Coturnix japonica: one gene and its partner. The protein of the gene in region 1 purifies or fractionates together with the protein of each later gene. This does not show direct contact. Links are inferred from orthologs where the notes say so. Each region holds a gene or a part of one and is shown in the gene's direction. Other genes may lie near its edges.

Region 1 (7,943 bases):
TTCAGTCGCTTTTGTTCCTCATGTGGAGGAACTCTGCATCTTCCCAGCTGAGTTAGCATGTAACACAGATGACTCTCTGGAGGAAGAGTTTGCAGTATGTTTTAGCTACTATCAACATTTATATTCCATTGTCATTTGGGGGTAAGCTCTAATTAGCATCAGCAACAGCGCTTTAATATCAGAATTCCTCCAAGAGATGCAGGAGGGATTGAAACAGTTTTCTGCCCCCAGAGGCAAATCCTTTCCCAAGTCATCTGCTGCACCAAAAGGTTTCATTCTAGAGATGTTCCCAAGCCAGAGTAAATTAAACTACAGCAAACTTATAAACGGTTGTGTGTGTGTGTGTAGCAAGCAAGCCCTGATTTAGCAAATTAGTACATGATGGAATGGTGTAACTGTTTTCTGTTCCTATCTTCGAACTGCTGTGCTTTGTCGCTGTGCTGTCTTTACTGTATGGGGGGTGCATGGAACCTCAGGAAGCAGGAATGCTTGAATGTTGTAATTGTTCCTGAACTGGCCAGAGAGAAAAAATAGTATGTTCCAAAGGAAGTATTTATTTGGGAGGAGAACAAATTGCAGGTGTTCTCCCTTCTTAAAATGAAACAATTATGCTTTATAGAGACGTGATTCCTTTCATTTCTGAATAAGACAAACACTGCTGCACCTTACGTGGAGTAAACATGATGACTCTGCAAGAAAGAGCTGCAAGGAAACCTCAGTGAGAATTTCAGTGTCTGCAGGGATTTGAACACTTGTATTGTCTTTTTGATATCCTGTTTCTTCAGAGAGATGGACTTAAATTTCACAGGCAGAATCTCTCTCTTTTATCTTTATCTCCTGTTTTGATGTGGTAGCCATGGAGAAAAGCCCGAGATGGAGTTGTTGCAGAATAAAGAATAACCCTCTACTTGGATTTAGACTGTAGTAATATTGGGGGTTTTCTTTGATTGGAAAACACTCAGGTTCATTAGAATAAATACTACATACTATTAGGGCATCAATTACCCATCCCATTCATTTAGATACGTCTTGCCTTAAGATTAACATCCCTCTGTGCTGTGGGATGTTTGAGTGGCTCTCACAAGGCAGGGGATGGGTGGCTGTACCTCTTTCTTTTGACACGGTGACTTGTTGTGTTTGTGCTCTTCCTCACCTTCCTCTTACTGCCAGCAGAACATGCTGTGGATAGACAGCAAATAGTTACCAAATAGTAAAGCTGTGCTGCTGTTCCTTGGTTTGCCTCACAGCACGTAGCTCTGTTACAGGTCTCAGTACACAGCAATGCTGGTGCTCTGCTGCAGCTTTAGTCTGAGGGCATCAGCTCAGCTCTTCCCCCCAGTCCTGCATCCCCCCTTTCCCTTGTCACTGAGCCTAAGCCTCACATTACCAGCTAGGCTGTTCTACCTTTGTTATCGAGTTCTGTACATTGAAGCAATAGGGTGGGATAGCAGGGAGGACCTCATACAAACCTGCCTGGTATTCCTGCTGTAAGAGGGTGTCAATGAGTGTGTACCAACACTGCATTGCTGCCAGGGTTGTGTAAGAAGCTGCTCCGTTCCCATCTCCTCCTCTTGCCTCACTCCACTCTTATGCAACCCCACAGCATGTGGAGCACACCAGAGCCGAGCACGGATTCGAGCATTTAGCACTATATTCTCACTGCCTTGTAGGGCTATTGATAGGGAACGCCACATTAAGGCTCTTTCTGGTGCTGGGGTTCTTTTTTAAGGGTGTTTTCGTTCCTTCTCAGTGCTCCCAATGGGAGCACAACACAGCGCGGCCTGCTGCACCACAGCGCTGCCCACCTCGAGCCGCCTCATCTCAGTGCAGGCCGCTGCGGCCTCACAACCCTCAGCCGGGGCTGAGGTTCCCGTGTCGGGCCTCTACCAGGCCGGGGGGGCGGCTCTGCCCCGGCTGCGACCCGGCCACCCCGCCGCCCCTCAGGAAATCACTGAGGTAAGAGCGAAGCGGCCGCGATCAGCGGATGTGACACCACCGCTGCCCCCATAGCCTAGGCCGCTGGGTGGAACCGCCCCTCAGCCCACCGCAGCCAATCCGCTCACAGCTTGGAGTGAGATTGACGGCCGGGATGGCCAATTGTTGCGAGGCATTCTTAGCGAACGTGCCGCCCTTTCTCTCTATTGGCCGGATGCCCCGTCAATCCGATAAGTCGTTCCCGCCCCTTTCCGGCAGGGGGAAATACTGGGGAGGAAGGGTGGAGGGAGAAGGGGGGAGGGGAGAAAAGAAAATCAACCAATGAGACGCCAAAGACGGGCGCTTCGGCAGCAGAGTGACAGGCGAGCGAACCAATGGCAGCGCTTCTTTCCTCCCTCTCCGTCTCCCTCCTCGCGGGTGGCGGGGCAGTGGGGGGGGTGCACCTACCGCCCCTTCCCCGTTGGTCTGTCCCACTCCGGGCCGGGCTGAGTGAGCGGCTCGGAGCAGCGCACAGCGCGGGCGGAGGGGGGGAGTGCGGGGAGAGCGGAGGAGGAGGAAGGAGACGGCGAAGGAGGCGGGGGGGGGAGGTTTAAAGAGACGAGGAGACCGAGGCGGGGCCGGCCGGCTGCGGAGAGGGAGCGGCGGCGGGCGGAGACTCGCCCTTCCCCACACACACACACGCTCCGCTCGCACCGGAGCCGCCGCTGCCGCTTCCAGGCCCACCCCCCCCCCCCGCTCTTCTTTCCCTTCCGCCTTCTATGAAGGTAGAAGGGAGCGTCGGCCACTCCGGGGGCGGCAGCGGCCGCTCTCTCAGCCGCCTCCTCCTCCTCCTCCTTCGCCTCAGAGCGAGCCCCATCTTTGTGTGCGAGGCAGGGAAAGAGAGAGGGAGGGGAGCGCGCCGCCCGCCGCCTCCAGCGCCGCGCTTTGTTCGGAGCCGGGGGCTCTATGTGCCCGCCGCCCCCCGGCTGCCCGCGGGGACGGAGGCGGCGGGAGGCGGCGTGAGGAGGGGCCGCAGCCCCTGAGGGCGGTGGCGGCGGGGAGGGAGGGTGGGGTGGCTGTGGTGGCTGTGGGGGGCGCGCGGCCGCCCCGTGTCGTGCCCGCGCCCGTGCCCGCGCGGCCGCCGCCGCCGCCGCCGCCGCCGAGGGGGGGAAGGGGCCGGCTCGCTGCCCGCCGGCCCGGCCCGTCGGCGGGAGGATTGATGTGGGGGGGTCTGACATGAGTCCGCCGGCGGCCGGGTGCTGCCATGTGACCGGCTTCAAGGTGGAGAACTGGAAGCAGAACCTGAGGGCCATTTACCAGTGCTTCGTGTGGAGCGGTTCGGCCGAGACCAGGAAGCGCAAGGTACCGGGGGCGGCCCCATCCACCCCCCTGCTCTCCCTTCCCCTCCTCTCGTCGGGCCCGCGGTTCCCGGCACGCGGTCGTGGTGGTGGTGGGGGTGGGTGGGAGGTGGGATGTTGGCTGCGGGTGCCCCCGCGGTGCGGGCACGGCGCTGGGGCTCAGAGCCGCCACCTGCCCCGCTCCGCCTTGCCCCCTTTCTCCGTCCCCGGGGCCGTTCCGCAGCGCCGCCGCCCCCCGGAGGTGCGGAGCCCTGTTCCCGGAACGCGGCGGAGGCTGCGGGGAGGGGAGGAGGGGGAGGGGAGAGCCCCGGGGCGATGGGCACGGCCCGACCCGCGGCGGGGCTTTGTGCCGCAGGGAGGGGTGGGGGAAGGAGGCACAATGGCTGGGAGAGGCTGGGGGGAGTTGACGAGGGCATTTCTGCTGTTTATTTATATATATATATATATGTGTGTGTGTATATATATTTTTTTTCCTTTGAAGATCGGTGGTCATCCGGTTGCAAAATGGGATTCCGGGTAGAGTGGGGGGTTGGGGGGAGAGCAGGAACTGAGTGCGGAGGGCACGGAGGGGGATAGAAGGAGCGAGCTGGGGGGTGCGAGCGTTCGGGGCACGCAGTGCGCAGCGCAGCACCGGAATCCGCTGCGATGAGGACAGACGTGACCGTCCCACCTGTGTGCGGCAATCCACACAATGCTGAGGAGCCCGAGCAGAGCCTCCCGCTGCCCTCCGTGCCATCAACTAGTTTGTACTAATAAGTGACTTTGCAGATTTCTATCGGTGGTGATGGTAATGGCCGAGGAGGGGACTGCAACAAACAGTGCGGCTGAACTGCGGGCTGGGACGGCCTGTTGGGCTGTGGGTAACTCTGGAGCTGTAGGTGTGTGCTGCAGGGCTGAGCGGCCCCTCTGTGTGAGCTTTGTGTTCTCTGGGAGTCCCCTGTTTTATTTCAAGGGAGGAAAAAATGGAATCCGAAGGAAAATGATCAAGTTAGTGGCTTGCTTGAGAGCGCTGCAATGTACAGCCAAAGTTGTGTTCTGCATCCCTAACGCACTGCAAGACAGTGTTATGGAGTATGTTAGGCAGAATTGGGTTTCATTTAACCTTTGGTATGTCAACATACGGATGGGTTTATGGTACAGCATACGTGGGGCTTAACATACGTGTGCTGCTGAAGGAGTGGGGTAAGAAGGTGTCTCAGAGGAATATTGCTTGTGTTACATGGCAGAAGGAAACCCAGAATTCATCAGTAAGATGAACACTTCAGCTTCCATTATTTTGAATGAGGAGCATCCCTTACAGCCATGGGCTGCTGTTGGTTGGGTTTCTTCTGGAATCTATCACTAGTGATGCATGTATTTATTGCCAGCTGTTTTTTAAGCCATAGTAATTGCTTGCTGTAATCAATCTGTGCTCCCACCTTTACCTCTTTGTAACCCGTGACACTCTTAGGACAGGCAGGCTCATAAGGCAGAACGGGGTGGTTGCGAAATCATCTCATCGAAAACATCCTTTTACCAGATACGTGCTAAAAATGCCTTTTGTTTTTAAGCAGATTTCCAGTCTGGAAATAGTTGGATTCTGAGTTCTACCAACCTGAGATGTGTGGGAGTAAATCATCACATACAGGGAAGTGTTTTGGGTACCTGCATTTGGTGGTGAATTCTTATATTCATAAAGGTAGAAGGAAGTATGGGAACAGTTATGGTGCTTACCTGCTGTACATGGATGTGAATCCTTCCCCTGCAGGATTTTTCCTTGCTGTCCATGTGTATCCTATATTTACATCTCAAACTTCATAGCAGCGTTTTCTGTTTTCGGATACATAGTGGGATAACTAAAAGGCAACCCGTTGTCCTTTATATAAGATGATATATCGTCTTTTATATATATATACTGTGTGTATGTATATATAAGGAGCACAGCCCTGACGTGGTGATGGACCAGTTAATTCATGGTGAGAATTCTCATTCTTAGCTCTAATCAAAGCAATGAGGTCAAATAAAGGTTTGATAGAAGGTGATTCGCAATTTCTGTTCCAAAAACCAGGGGCGGTTGCATCCTTCATTTGGCACAGCAAACATTCACAAGATGTAGCTGATCATTAATGGAAGCATTGATGAATTTAACTGTTATTCAGATGAACCTAGCTGTAAAACAACAAGCAAACCCAAACGTTTGGGCTGTTGGTGCTTGGGAGCCAGATGTTAAATTGTTGGGTCTCTGGGTTGCTAATGTTCTATCCCTCCTAGGGCTGCCTTATAAATCCAGATAGCAGTAGGAACTGCAGGGGGCAGAAAGTGTCTGCTGCTCCTCTTTTACTTATACTGCTTTACTGCATTATGCTTTAGAAGACCATTTTGACACTGCTTGCTGCTTGCTATTTGTTTTTAATGCGTACCTTTGCTGAGAATAAGCCTTGATGAGCTGTAGCCTTCATTACAGCGTTCTTCACATCCAGAGTTCTTAATAAAATAGCTGCAAAGCGCTGTTTGTAGTCGGAAAGCCATTTCCTGTACCTGTATTTGAATTCCCAATCAGAAGGAAGAGGTAATTATGAGCGTACATTTGTTAATGCTGGAATTCTGGTGAAGGGTTCAGGAGTGTGTTTGCTTCCATGGGATTTCAGCTCTCCTACTGGTGTGTTGTTCTGCCTCCATCCAGGGGCTGAGCTGTAGCTTTGTGCCTGTACGTGCTGTTATAGGCAGAGCTTTGCTGTAGTGCGAATGTGCTGCTGCTGGTAAAGCCTAAAGGAAGTCAAAACCTGAGCATTGTGTTGTTGGAGGAGTGGAATAGGAAGAAGTCTGAAGGGCTGGTGTTGAACTTGTAATGGTGATCAGGAGCTAGAACCAGCTTTTGGCTCTTAGGTAGAGTGGCGTAAAATTGGGGTTGGTCATCTTGGCTTTGGGACTTTGACCAGTGACTTGATTTGTTTTATTTGTGATATAATGTACTGAATGAATACATAAATACAAGCTTTGCCGTCACCTTCTGTAGGTCATGGGCTTTACCTTGAGTGTTTTGATGGAGGAAAATCCCTCATGCTTAAGGACCTCTCATAGCATTACTTAGATATATATGAAACCACAACTTTCCATGCAGGAATTATGGACCAGACCGAAGATGATAAGAAGACACACCGCCAGCCCTGTTGGATCAGCTTTTTCCTTGAGTCACACTTGAAAAGCTTTGCTTATTGCTTTACAATTACAGATGAGAACAGTCGGTTTTGTGGTGCTGAACAGTTTCAGTTCTCCATCAGGGAGGGTTTGGACGTGTAGATGCATCGTTGTCTAGGAGTTAGTAAGTAATGGCTTCAGCACTTGAAGGGCTGATGCATTTACAGTTCAGTTCTGTCCTGCAGGACCACAAACCTCAAAGGAAAGCTCTGCCTGGTTCTGAGTGGTTCTTACTCTCACTGCTCAGAGAAGGTGCTCAATGATGTGAGTAATCTGGTGGTCATGAGTGCAGCCGTGATAGGGACAAGGTCCTATCTGAAATGTCAGAATGTTTGTTCTGTGCTTCTGACAGCAGGTCCAAGAGTAATGGGCTGTCAGGGGTTGTCTGTTCTGCTCTCCTTGGTGGTGGATGTATTCTAGGTTCTTCCCTCTCATGTCAGAAATTCTGTTGTTCTTCCATTATTCTTTGTTCACATGGACACTCTTAGGTATGAAGAAACATTTTTGTATGTAGGTGATGAGCTGCCTATAGATCTCTTCCTCATTCACATGTATGCACTTCTGACTTCACATGCATCCTTCTAATAATTCATTGAGAGTTAATTCATAGGTACCAGTAACTGGAATTACTTTGGTTCATTTTTTTTAATGTTTGAGGTGGGAAAAAACATCTCAACAAATAAATGCCGCATCATACTTATGACAGCAAGTATTGTGCTTCAGTCTACATTGATGCATTAAGCTCTTGCTAAGGTGACCTTTTGTTTGGAGAGTTTTGGGACTTCCTGCTGGGTGCCAGGTGAGGTGTGCTTGCGTTCAGCCTTGCCTTGCATACCTGTCCAGGAGCAGGGAAGTGTTGTTTAGGCAATATGCTAAGGGATGGGTAAGAACCTTACTAAGCTGTGTAGCCTTCTCAAACTCAGTATTTTAGTTTCTTAAGCTCAAACGTCCTTATTAATTTTTCTTTAATACTTCTAGCAAACGTCTGGATTACAAATCCTATGGAGGAGTCCAGGATTCAAGAAGCTCTTTTTCAGTTCCCTACTTCACTTTGGCCGCCATGCGACCTATGGTTCACTCAGGAGGGATGTTCTTGCCATGTTTCATTGGGACTGCCTTCTCCCTGGAGGCCCATAAGGAGTGTCAGAGTCAGCTGCAGCCTTCACTGTTCAGCAGTTCTCATAAATGAGCAACCTTCTGTAGTTCTTAGCCTCTGAGGAGTGAGGAGGTCCTTAAACCTGCTGAAGGTAATGCTCTCTTTCCTCTAGATGTGCAGGCGCAGTCTGTGGTATGAGAGATACCCAGGCATTAGGTTTGCACACATGGGTTTCTGTTGCGCTGCATTTATGTCTCTGTCATTGGAGAAGACTGCAATACAGGTCCTTGCTCCTACTGGTGCTCATCCCTGTTGTGTGTCCTACAGCATGGTTAAAGAAACATTTGATTTCTTCACCAAAGATCAGGGATTCATCTACTCTATGGTCATGAATAGTA
Region 2 (7,766 bases), on another chromosome or scaffold:
GCAATTTGGATTCACAAATACTATCTCAAAGATTAATTTTTCACATTTAAAAAACACTTAAGTCTTCTGTAAGTTTTGCTAGCTACCAATGGAAGCTTACGTCAATTCATTGTCTTTCAATACTTTCCAATACTTTCCAGTTCTATCTTCTGAATAGCGCTATCTGCAATTGGATGGTTTAGGACTTTTCAATAGCTTCAAAAGATGGATGTGGTTTGAGTGCCACTCCAGAGCCACACAAGGTGCTCTCTGCAGCCTCCAGATTACAAGTTAGAAATTAAATAACCACCAAAACCCTGACAAAACAAAAAGCCCCACCTATAAAGTTTTTGCTTTCGCACCTTAATTCCCAGAGAAAAATAGGAAACACCAAACTCTACTAAAGAAAAATAATCTACAAGAAAGAAGTACCTTCTCTGTCAAAAAAGCCCTGCAGAGCCTTCCTGGGATCTTTCATATAGAAGGCATCTTGTACATCCTGAAAGTCAATAGCAATAGGGTTTTCTTCAACCTCATCCTCCTCAGCATCCTCCCCTGGAAGAGCAAGTACAAACAAAGTGGTGAAAAGTTAGAATGAGAACACCAGGAAACAAATACAGTCATTTTGAAAGGAGCATCAGCTGTATCATCCTAAGATTATAACCTTTAATAGCTTCTGTTATAGCATGAACTATACACAGTTCCATGTTGCTTTTGAAGTTTAGACAAGCCCCCTTTTCCCCAGTTTTAGGAAAAAAACCCTCTATTGTTGTTCTCTCTCTGTTTTGCCTTCTCACAGAATTCCTATTTTTATAAAGAAATAGGCTGATCTGTAGTCAAAAACTTTCACTGGCTTTGGACACTTGGAAATCCAACTGGAATTTCAATGCCTGAGCTCACTGAAAACTCACATAAAAAGCTCCCAAGTTGTATCAGCTCATCTCTGTGTCAGTACTCACCCATTCCCCATGAGCAGCTCATATCAACGTTCTGACTGCCTTCATTTCCTTGCTCCTCCTTTTCATCTTCCTCATCAGAGTCGTCTCCCAGCATGGTCTTTTCCAGCTTTGCTTGCTGCTGCTTCCGCAGTGCCTTCAACTGTGTCACAGTCAGCTCCGACTCAGACTCCTGGTCCTCTTCAGGTCCCTATGTCACAAAGAGCAACTCTATGAGTGTTTCGGAATGAAAAAAAAAAACAACCTTGTCTTTTCAGTGGACATGCAAATTACAGACAGAAAGATAAACAGATCATAGTGCTCATGTAAAAGCTGAATTACTGGACTATTATAGCCTGCATGCTCGGATATATCAATTTCAGTGGCCAAAGAAGGGGGCAAAAAGAGATAAGCATTACTGTTTAGTTGAGGCACCTCAAGCACAGCTGTATTTAAAGGCAGACAGCAAGGATATCCACCAGTGCCACACAGAAGCACTTGAGGAACATGCAGCTACACCCTCTGAGTTAAACGGTCTGAGTGTTTCTAGACTCCTACCAATACAAGCTCTCTTTTGGCACAAGGAATCACAGAATGGTTTGGGATGGAAGGGATCTCAAAGTCCTCTCATTTCCAACCCCATACCATGGACAGGGCTGCTTCCATCATCACATGCTGCACAGGGCCCTATCCAACCCAGCCTTGACACCACTATGGATGGGGCAGCCCGCTCAGAGATGCACGTGCAGCCAAAGCACCCCACGTCTCAGAAGCATCTCCCACAAGCTCCAAGCCCTTGAGATTGGGCAGAGCCGCCCGAATTTCCCCGTGCGGCCCGGGGAAGCCGCTGTGCAGTGTCTGACCCTTCTCCCGACCCACCTGCAGAAGGAAGAGGCGGGAGCTGCCTCCGAAGCGCAGCCCGTGGCCCACCCGTACGCGGCAGTAGGTGCGAGGCGGCACCCGCGCCTTGTTGAGGAAGGTGCCGTGCGTGCTGCCCAGGTCGTACACGTAGAAGCCGGCATCGGCGTCGGGCCCGTCGGCGGCTCGGCCGCGGTACTGCAGCACGGCGTGGTGCCGCGACACCGACGGGTGCTCCAGGGCCAGCGCGCAGCCGGGCAGGCGGCCCACGAGGAACCAGCTGCCGCCATCCAGCCGCACCGAGCCCAGCAGCACGCCGCCCTTCAGCACCTCCAGCCCGTAACCGGCGTCAGCGGGCGGCCGGCTGCCCCACGGCGGCTCCTCGTAGCGCGGCGTCGGCGCGGAGGCGGCCGGACGGGGCGGCGCGGGGCTGGGGCTGGGTGCGGGGCTGGGCTCGCTGCTGTGCGGAGCGGGCAGCGGGACGCTCGGCCGCTTGAACTCGGCAGGCCGGCTGTCCGTTTCCATGGCCTCCGCCATCTTGTCGCGTCCGATCCTAAATTGGGTCCTCCGGGAACGAGCGCCGTCGGGGCTGTGGTTCCGGATGGTGGAAGGGGCTCAGCGCTGCGGTTCGCACCGTTGCTTCGACCACGGCTGTGGGCAGAGAGTGGGGTGAGAGCGGCAGGGGGCGGCGGGAGGAGCGGAGAAGGGCGGAGGCTGCAGCGGGAGCTCCGCACTCCTTGCGGAAGTGCGGCGGGAGCCGCGTTTGGCGACGGACCGGGGCCGTGCGGTACGGCGGGGTCGTGATCGAGGTGGGGCCGAACGTGCGGCCTTGTTCTCCGCCGGGTTCCCTGGCACCAGGGCGGGACTGGGGCTGCGCTGCGCTGCTTAGAAGTCGTGCCCCCCTCGCTGCTGCTTTGCTTTCTTGTTCCCCCTCCTTAGGGGAGGCAGCTGTGCTGTCTTGAAAGCTGCGTTTCTCACGGTGACTTTGGAAGGGTTTTCTTGACATCAGTTATTTGCTCGTTTCCGAGGCCAGCACCAGTTTGTTGCTGCCCAAAGCCAAGAGCTTCTCCCCGCAGCTCGTCCTGCTGTGTCTGGGTGCCTTCCCTGCACTCTGAGGACAATACTGTGTTAAAATGCTGCGTTACTGGGGTGAGATCCCGGTGCCATCCAACCAGGCCAACCGCAGCTCTTTCGACCTCCTCCAGCGTGAGTTCCGCACGGTGGAGGTTCAGGACCCTCCTCTGCACCAGCCGTCAGCCAACAAACCACGGCCCACCACCATGCTGGACGTCCCCTCCGAGCCCTGCAGCCTCACCATCCACACCATCCAGCTCATCCAGCACAACCGGCGGCTGCGCAGCCTCATCGCCATGGCCCAGGCACAAAATCAGCAGCAAGCGGAGGGCATCAAGACAGAAGACAACGAACCTCTGCCCTCTCGTCCGGCCTCCCCACCTCTTCCTGATGACCTGCTTCCTCTGGACAGCAAGCCCCCCAAAATGCCATTCCAGTTGAGGCACAGTGACCCAGAGAGCGATTTCTACAGGTATGTGTGGTATTTCCTTGTTTCTTTTCAAGTTGGGTATTAGGAAAAATTTCTTCTCGGAAGGAGCAGTGAGGTGCTGGAACAAGGCTGCCCAGGGAGGTGGTAGAGCCATCACCATCCTTGAAGGTGTTGAAGGTGTGGATGTGGCACTGAAAGATATGACTAGTGGGCATGGTGATGGTGGGTTGGTGGTTAGACTAGATGACCTTAGTGGACTTTCCAGCTTTATGATCCTATGAATCCTGGCTGCAGGAAAGCTGAGTGTTTTTAAATATATGTGTTGCTTTGTCCGTTCACTAAGGCTGATGAATTGTGTGTAAAGAATAAAGCAGGCCTAGGAACAGAAAGGTTGAGATGCACACAACATACAAGTTGTTTAAAACAAATGTGTCTTTGCTTTCTATCCATAAAATGCAGATGTATAGTGCTGATTTCTGCACTCAGCTTAATGTTTGTGAACAGTTTTGCCATCTTCAGTGTTCTTTTGAGAAAGTTAGTTATTGACTGCAAAGTCTTTTGTATTTAGGTCACTTACAGCTAGACTGTCTGTGTTCTCACCATTCAGAAGATACACAACTGGCTGTTGGCCCATTATCTTTAGGTTCTGAGATTATGCTTTGCTAATTACTGCTTGTAAGATCTCTGTGCCCAAAGATTCACGGTGCTGCCATCTCATCCTACTGTCAGTGTTTGTGGTCTGGTCACATATGGCAGTGAGTGCTGGTGAAGGGAGTTCCCGTCTCTCCAATGCTGGCTCCACCAGCCATGGGCTTGAGGAAATAGAAAGGAAGGTTGCATTGCTCCTTTGCAGTCAATCTTTGTTTACACAGTAATGTCACCTCCTCCTTGTCAACCCTCTGATGTACACTACTCAAAGCTCTTCCCATCTATGGATATAGAAATCATTTCTGAGGCACTGTAAAAATGACAAACATCTTTCTAGCTTAGGCTGTAAACATCACAACAAAGATTTACAATTAAATGTTTAAATACGTATTATTCACACATTCATGTCCAATTTAACACTTGAATGGGGCATCGTATGTTTTAACCCTGGTGTTATTTATAAGGAGATGCTCTATTTCCTGCAGGATCTCACGGTTCCTCTTAGACTGTGCATTTAAATTCAGAGATTTATCCCCACAGTTCTTAAGGACTGATCCAATAAACTTGATATAGGAGAAAACAATACCTTTTATTTTTTTTCAGATGGGGAAAGTTTACATCCATAAAATATCATTGGTTAAATGCATCGGATCTTTAATGGCCTTTGTAGCATTCAGTGATTTTAACTGAAAGACATTCCTGTCGGTAACATAGTCTGTCTGGATAGCAGAGCCAGGCTTCAGTGCTGTTTTTAGAGTTACATGCTGCGCTGGTTTCAGCTGGGATAACAATTCAGATATTTCAAACTTGAATTCTTTTAGTATTCCTGGGTGGGTTGCCATCTGGTCCTGGTGATTTGCAACTGTTGATGTTACGGTTCTTGGAATACGCAATAGGGGATTAACATTTGATTTTGGCTGGTACAGAAACAGAAGGTAAGCCTAAATCATCGCCTTCATCCTTCTGGGATGGAATAAAGTGATTTGCCTGAAGGGGTGAAGGGATATTCCGTGAGTATGAATTAGAGCCCTGTGCCTCCTGCTCTTTATGGTATTACGGTTTGTAGAGCTGAAGCAGCCTTGTGTATCTTGCAGTCTTCTGTACTGACCTCCCTGGTGCCTTCAGCTTTAACTTTAAATTTTCAGTGGCCCTAACCGTGATTTTGGGGCCGCTTTGTACTTTTGCTGTCCCTTGGGTCTCTCCATGGTGCTGGTAAACAAATGTTATTTAGCAGTCAGCCACATGGGGGAGTTTAAGGACTAGATTGCAAAGTGTAGATAGGCGGTTTTGACATGAAATGCATTGTGGCCGACTGATTTGTTATGGGTCGTGGTATAGAGTCTAATTTAACCGTGTGCCTGCTAAACCAAACACGTTTCTGCTTTTCTGGGAGGCAAGCTTTTGGTTTCTGTTGCGTGTTTGCTGTTTTAATGCACGTACATGAAGAACAGCATCTATTCTTACAGGATTAAGAATAACGTTAAAAGATTTGTTAGTGCTTGTTTTTAGTGGGTAAAACAATTGAGGGAGGACTGTTCTTCTTGATAAAACACGATATTGCTTAGTTTTACAATACCTTTTAAGTGTCATTGTCAGAGTTACGTTGTTAGACTAAATGCATGTTTTAGTTCCATTTTCTTTCCTGATAACTTAGGTCTCGGAAGCAGTGTGTAGGTATGTTTGTTCATAGGAAGAAGAGTGGCCAGCCTGAATTAGACCACAAGTTTCTTCAATATAGCTATGTTCTCTTCTGTTTCCTCATTATTCATTTTTGTCCTTAGACCTCGCAGCCTTGTCTTTTATTTTGTTGATCAACAAAATCAACCCCTCGGTTGGCTTTTTTTTCTTCTCTTTTTTTGTAGTGCCTTCTGCCCCACACCATACCTGTAATCCCCGTTTCCACATCCCTTTTGTGGCGTGGAGGAGGCAGAACCTGATTTACTGCTATTTTGCAGTTGTTCTGATTTTTTTCAACCTCCTTCAGAAATCTGTGCCAGCAGCAGATTTAATTAGGACTCTGTTCCTTTTCTGCTTTTTTTTCAGGCTGTGGATAAGTATGTGCAAAAAAATCTTTGACTCTGGCACAGATCCCTGAGGAATGTCCTTAGCTTTCCAATGTACATCTCTTATATACTTGCTTGTCAGTGGCTTTGGAGGGCTGTGGCAGCCTTGTGAAGCAGGTTTTCCACTTACAGGAGCTGTCTGAAGTCTTTCTGAACGCATCTTATTTACTCATCTGTCCTCTAACTCTGTTCTTATCATTGCTGTGAATTTCCCTGATGTACCAGAATAGTACAGAATTACCAGCCTGTAGTTTTTCATTTTTCCTCCCCCCCAAATATATTGAAAGAGTGTTTTCACACTTTCTACCTACTGGTTCTCATGGGCTGTGGCACTTTAAAGCAAGAGGTGATTCACCACAGCTATTCAGATGTTTCATCCCTGAATTCCTCTAGTATTCCTGGATGTGTTGCCATCTGGTCGCAGTGATTTGAAACCGTTGACGTTACAGTTCTTGGAATACACAATAGGAGATTAACATTTGATTTTGGCTGGTATAAAAACAGAAGGTAAATTTAGAGCATAGTTGATGAGGAATAAGTAAGGAACTGTAACATACAACTGCCATTTCAACAGGAGATTCTTACCATAATATGGCTGATAGCTCTTCCTTCCTCTGTGTTCAGCTTTCCACTATTAATATGGATCCACTGTAGGAAGAAACCTAACTTTCTCATTTTTTTTTTTTGGTGTGTATGTACATGGTTGTTTTCTTAATGGATTTCTCTATTATTCTCTCATTTGTGTTCCTGACCACATCGTGTTTGTGCTTTGTATTGAACTGAGAACTGTACTGGGAGCTCGCAATGGGAAGACAGCTCATGGCAAAAGGTCTAATAGTTAAATGTTTGTACAGAAGAAGGGAAGTGCGTGTTGGTGGGATAGCTAAGTTAGCACTGAGGGAGGATTTGGAGCAGTAGAAATCAGAGCAGGCAGAACATGCTTAGCCTGTTGGATAAAGCATTTCATTTCTACCTTCTAAACTTTCTGGTGTTCTGTGTTGTCCCACTGGGACCTAATTTATTTTCCAAATGTTAGCTGTTGCCTGTTGCCATTATCTACTGAACAGTTTCTGTGTATACCTGCGCATCCTCCTGCAGGCATAGCAGAGCTATTTGAAAAGAGGCTTATTCAGGATGAGGTGAAAAGAGGCCCTTTCTCAAAAGGAAGCTTATTTTTCATTTCGAGCTGGTGTTTTTTGTTCTGTGATACAGTCCCCGATCATTATAATCTCTTTTTTTTTTCTGATGTTCTCCTTTATTTTATTGTATTGGGAAAGATGGCAGTGAAACGACCTTGATGCACCTAATTTGGTAGAAATTCAACTCTACGCTTAAATGTTTCATAAAACGAATGTGTTCGTAAGAAAACAATCCCTCCCTCCATCTGCCAGTAGCTTATGCTCTCCTGTGTGGGGGAAGAGCACCTCAGTGCATTACCTCAGGTGAGTAAGCCTCAGCTGTTGATCTTTGTACTGACTCAGCCAAGCACTTTCTTTCCCCTGAGGTGGCACAGCAAATGGACCATAAGCTCTCCCTTGCTTTCAGAAGAAAATCTTTACAGGAGAGAAGCTTGGGTGAATGGACTGTGGAGCCCTTGGGGGGATGACTGTGTCATGTTAACTGGCTGACGCAGAAAATGAGCCTTTTGTTAGCTCTGAAACCTTATGGATAATGAAAATAAGCCCGATTTGTATAAACTGGTCATTTTTCTCTTTTGTGTTGATGCAAAGTTCTGCATGTTGCAGATGGTTTGGTTGCAATGGGAGAAGGCTGAGCTTT

The links. Proteins that work in one complex are often made in the same cells at the same time.
Region 2: the proteins of USP22 (region 1) and SUPT7L purify together in Homo sapiens (affinity purification with mass spectrometry; 3 studies listed by BioGRID and IntAct, with this or other methods). This does not show direct contact. The link is inferred for Coturnix japonica from reciprocal best matches to the Homo sapiens genes USP22 and SUPT7L.

What each region holds. Positions count from the first base shown.
Region 1 is NC_029529.1:4,591,762-4,599,704, forward strand, and holds the start of USP22 (ubiquitin carboxyl-terminal hydrolase 22), read left to right. Parts: upstream 1-3,069; 5' UTR 3,070-3,150; coding exon 3,151-3,276; intron 3,277-7,943. UniProt on the Homo sapiens protein: Deubiquitinase that plays a role in several cellular processes including transcriptional regulation, cell cycle progression or innate immunity.
Region 2 is NC_029518.1:24,843,838-24,851,603, forward strand, and holds the start of SUPT7L (STAGA complex 65 subunit gamma), read left to right. Parts: upstream 1-2,571; 5' UTR 2,572-2,905; coding exon 2,906-3,318; intron 3,319-7,766. Other genes in the region: SLC4A1AP (kanadaptin), read right to left, coding at 412-534, 939-1,125, 1,794-2,309.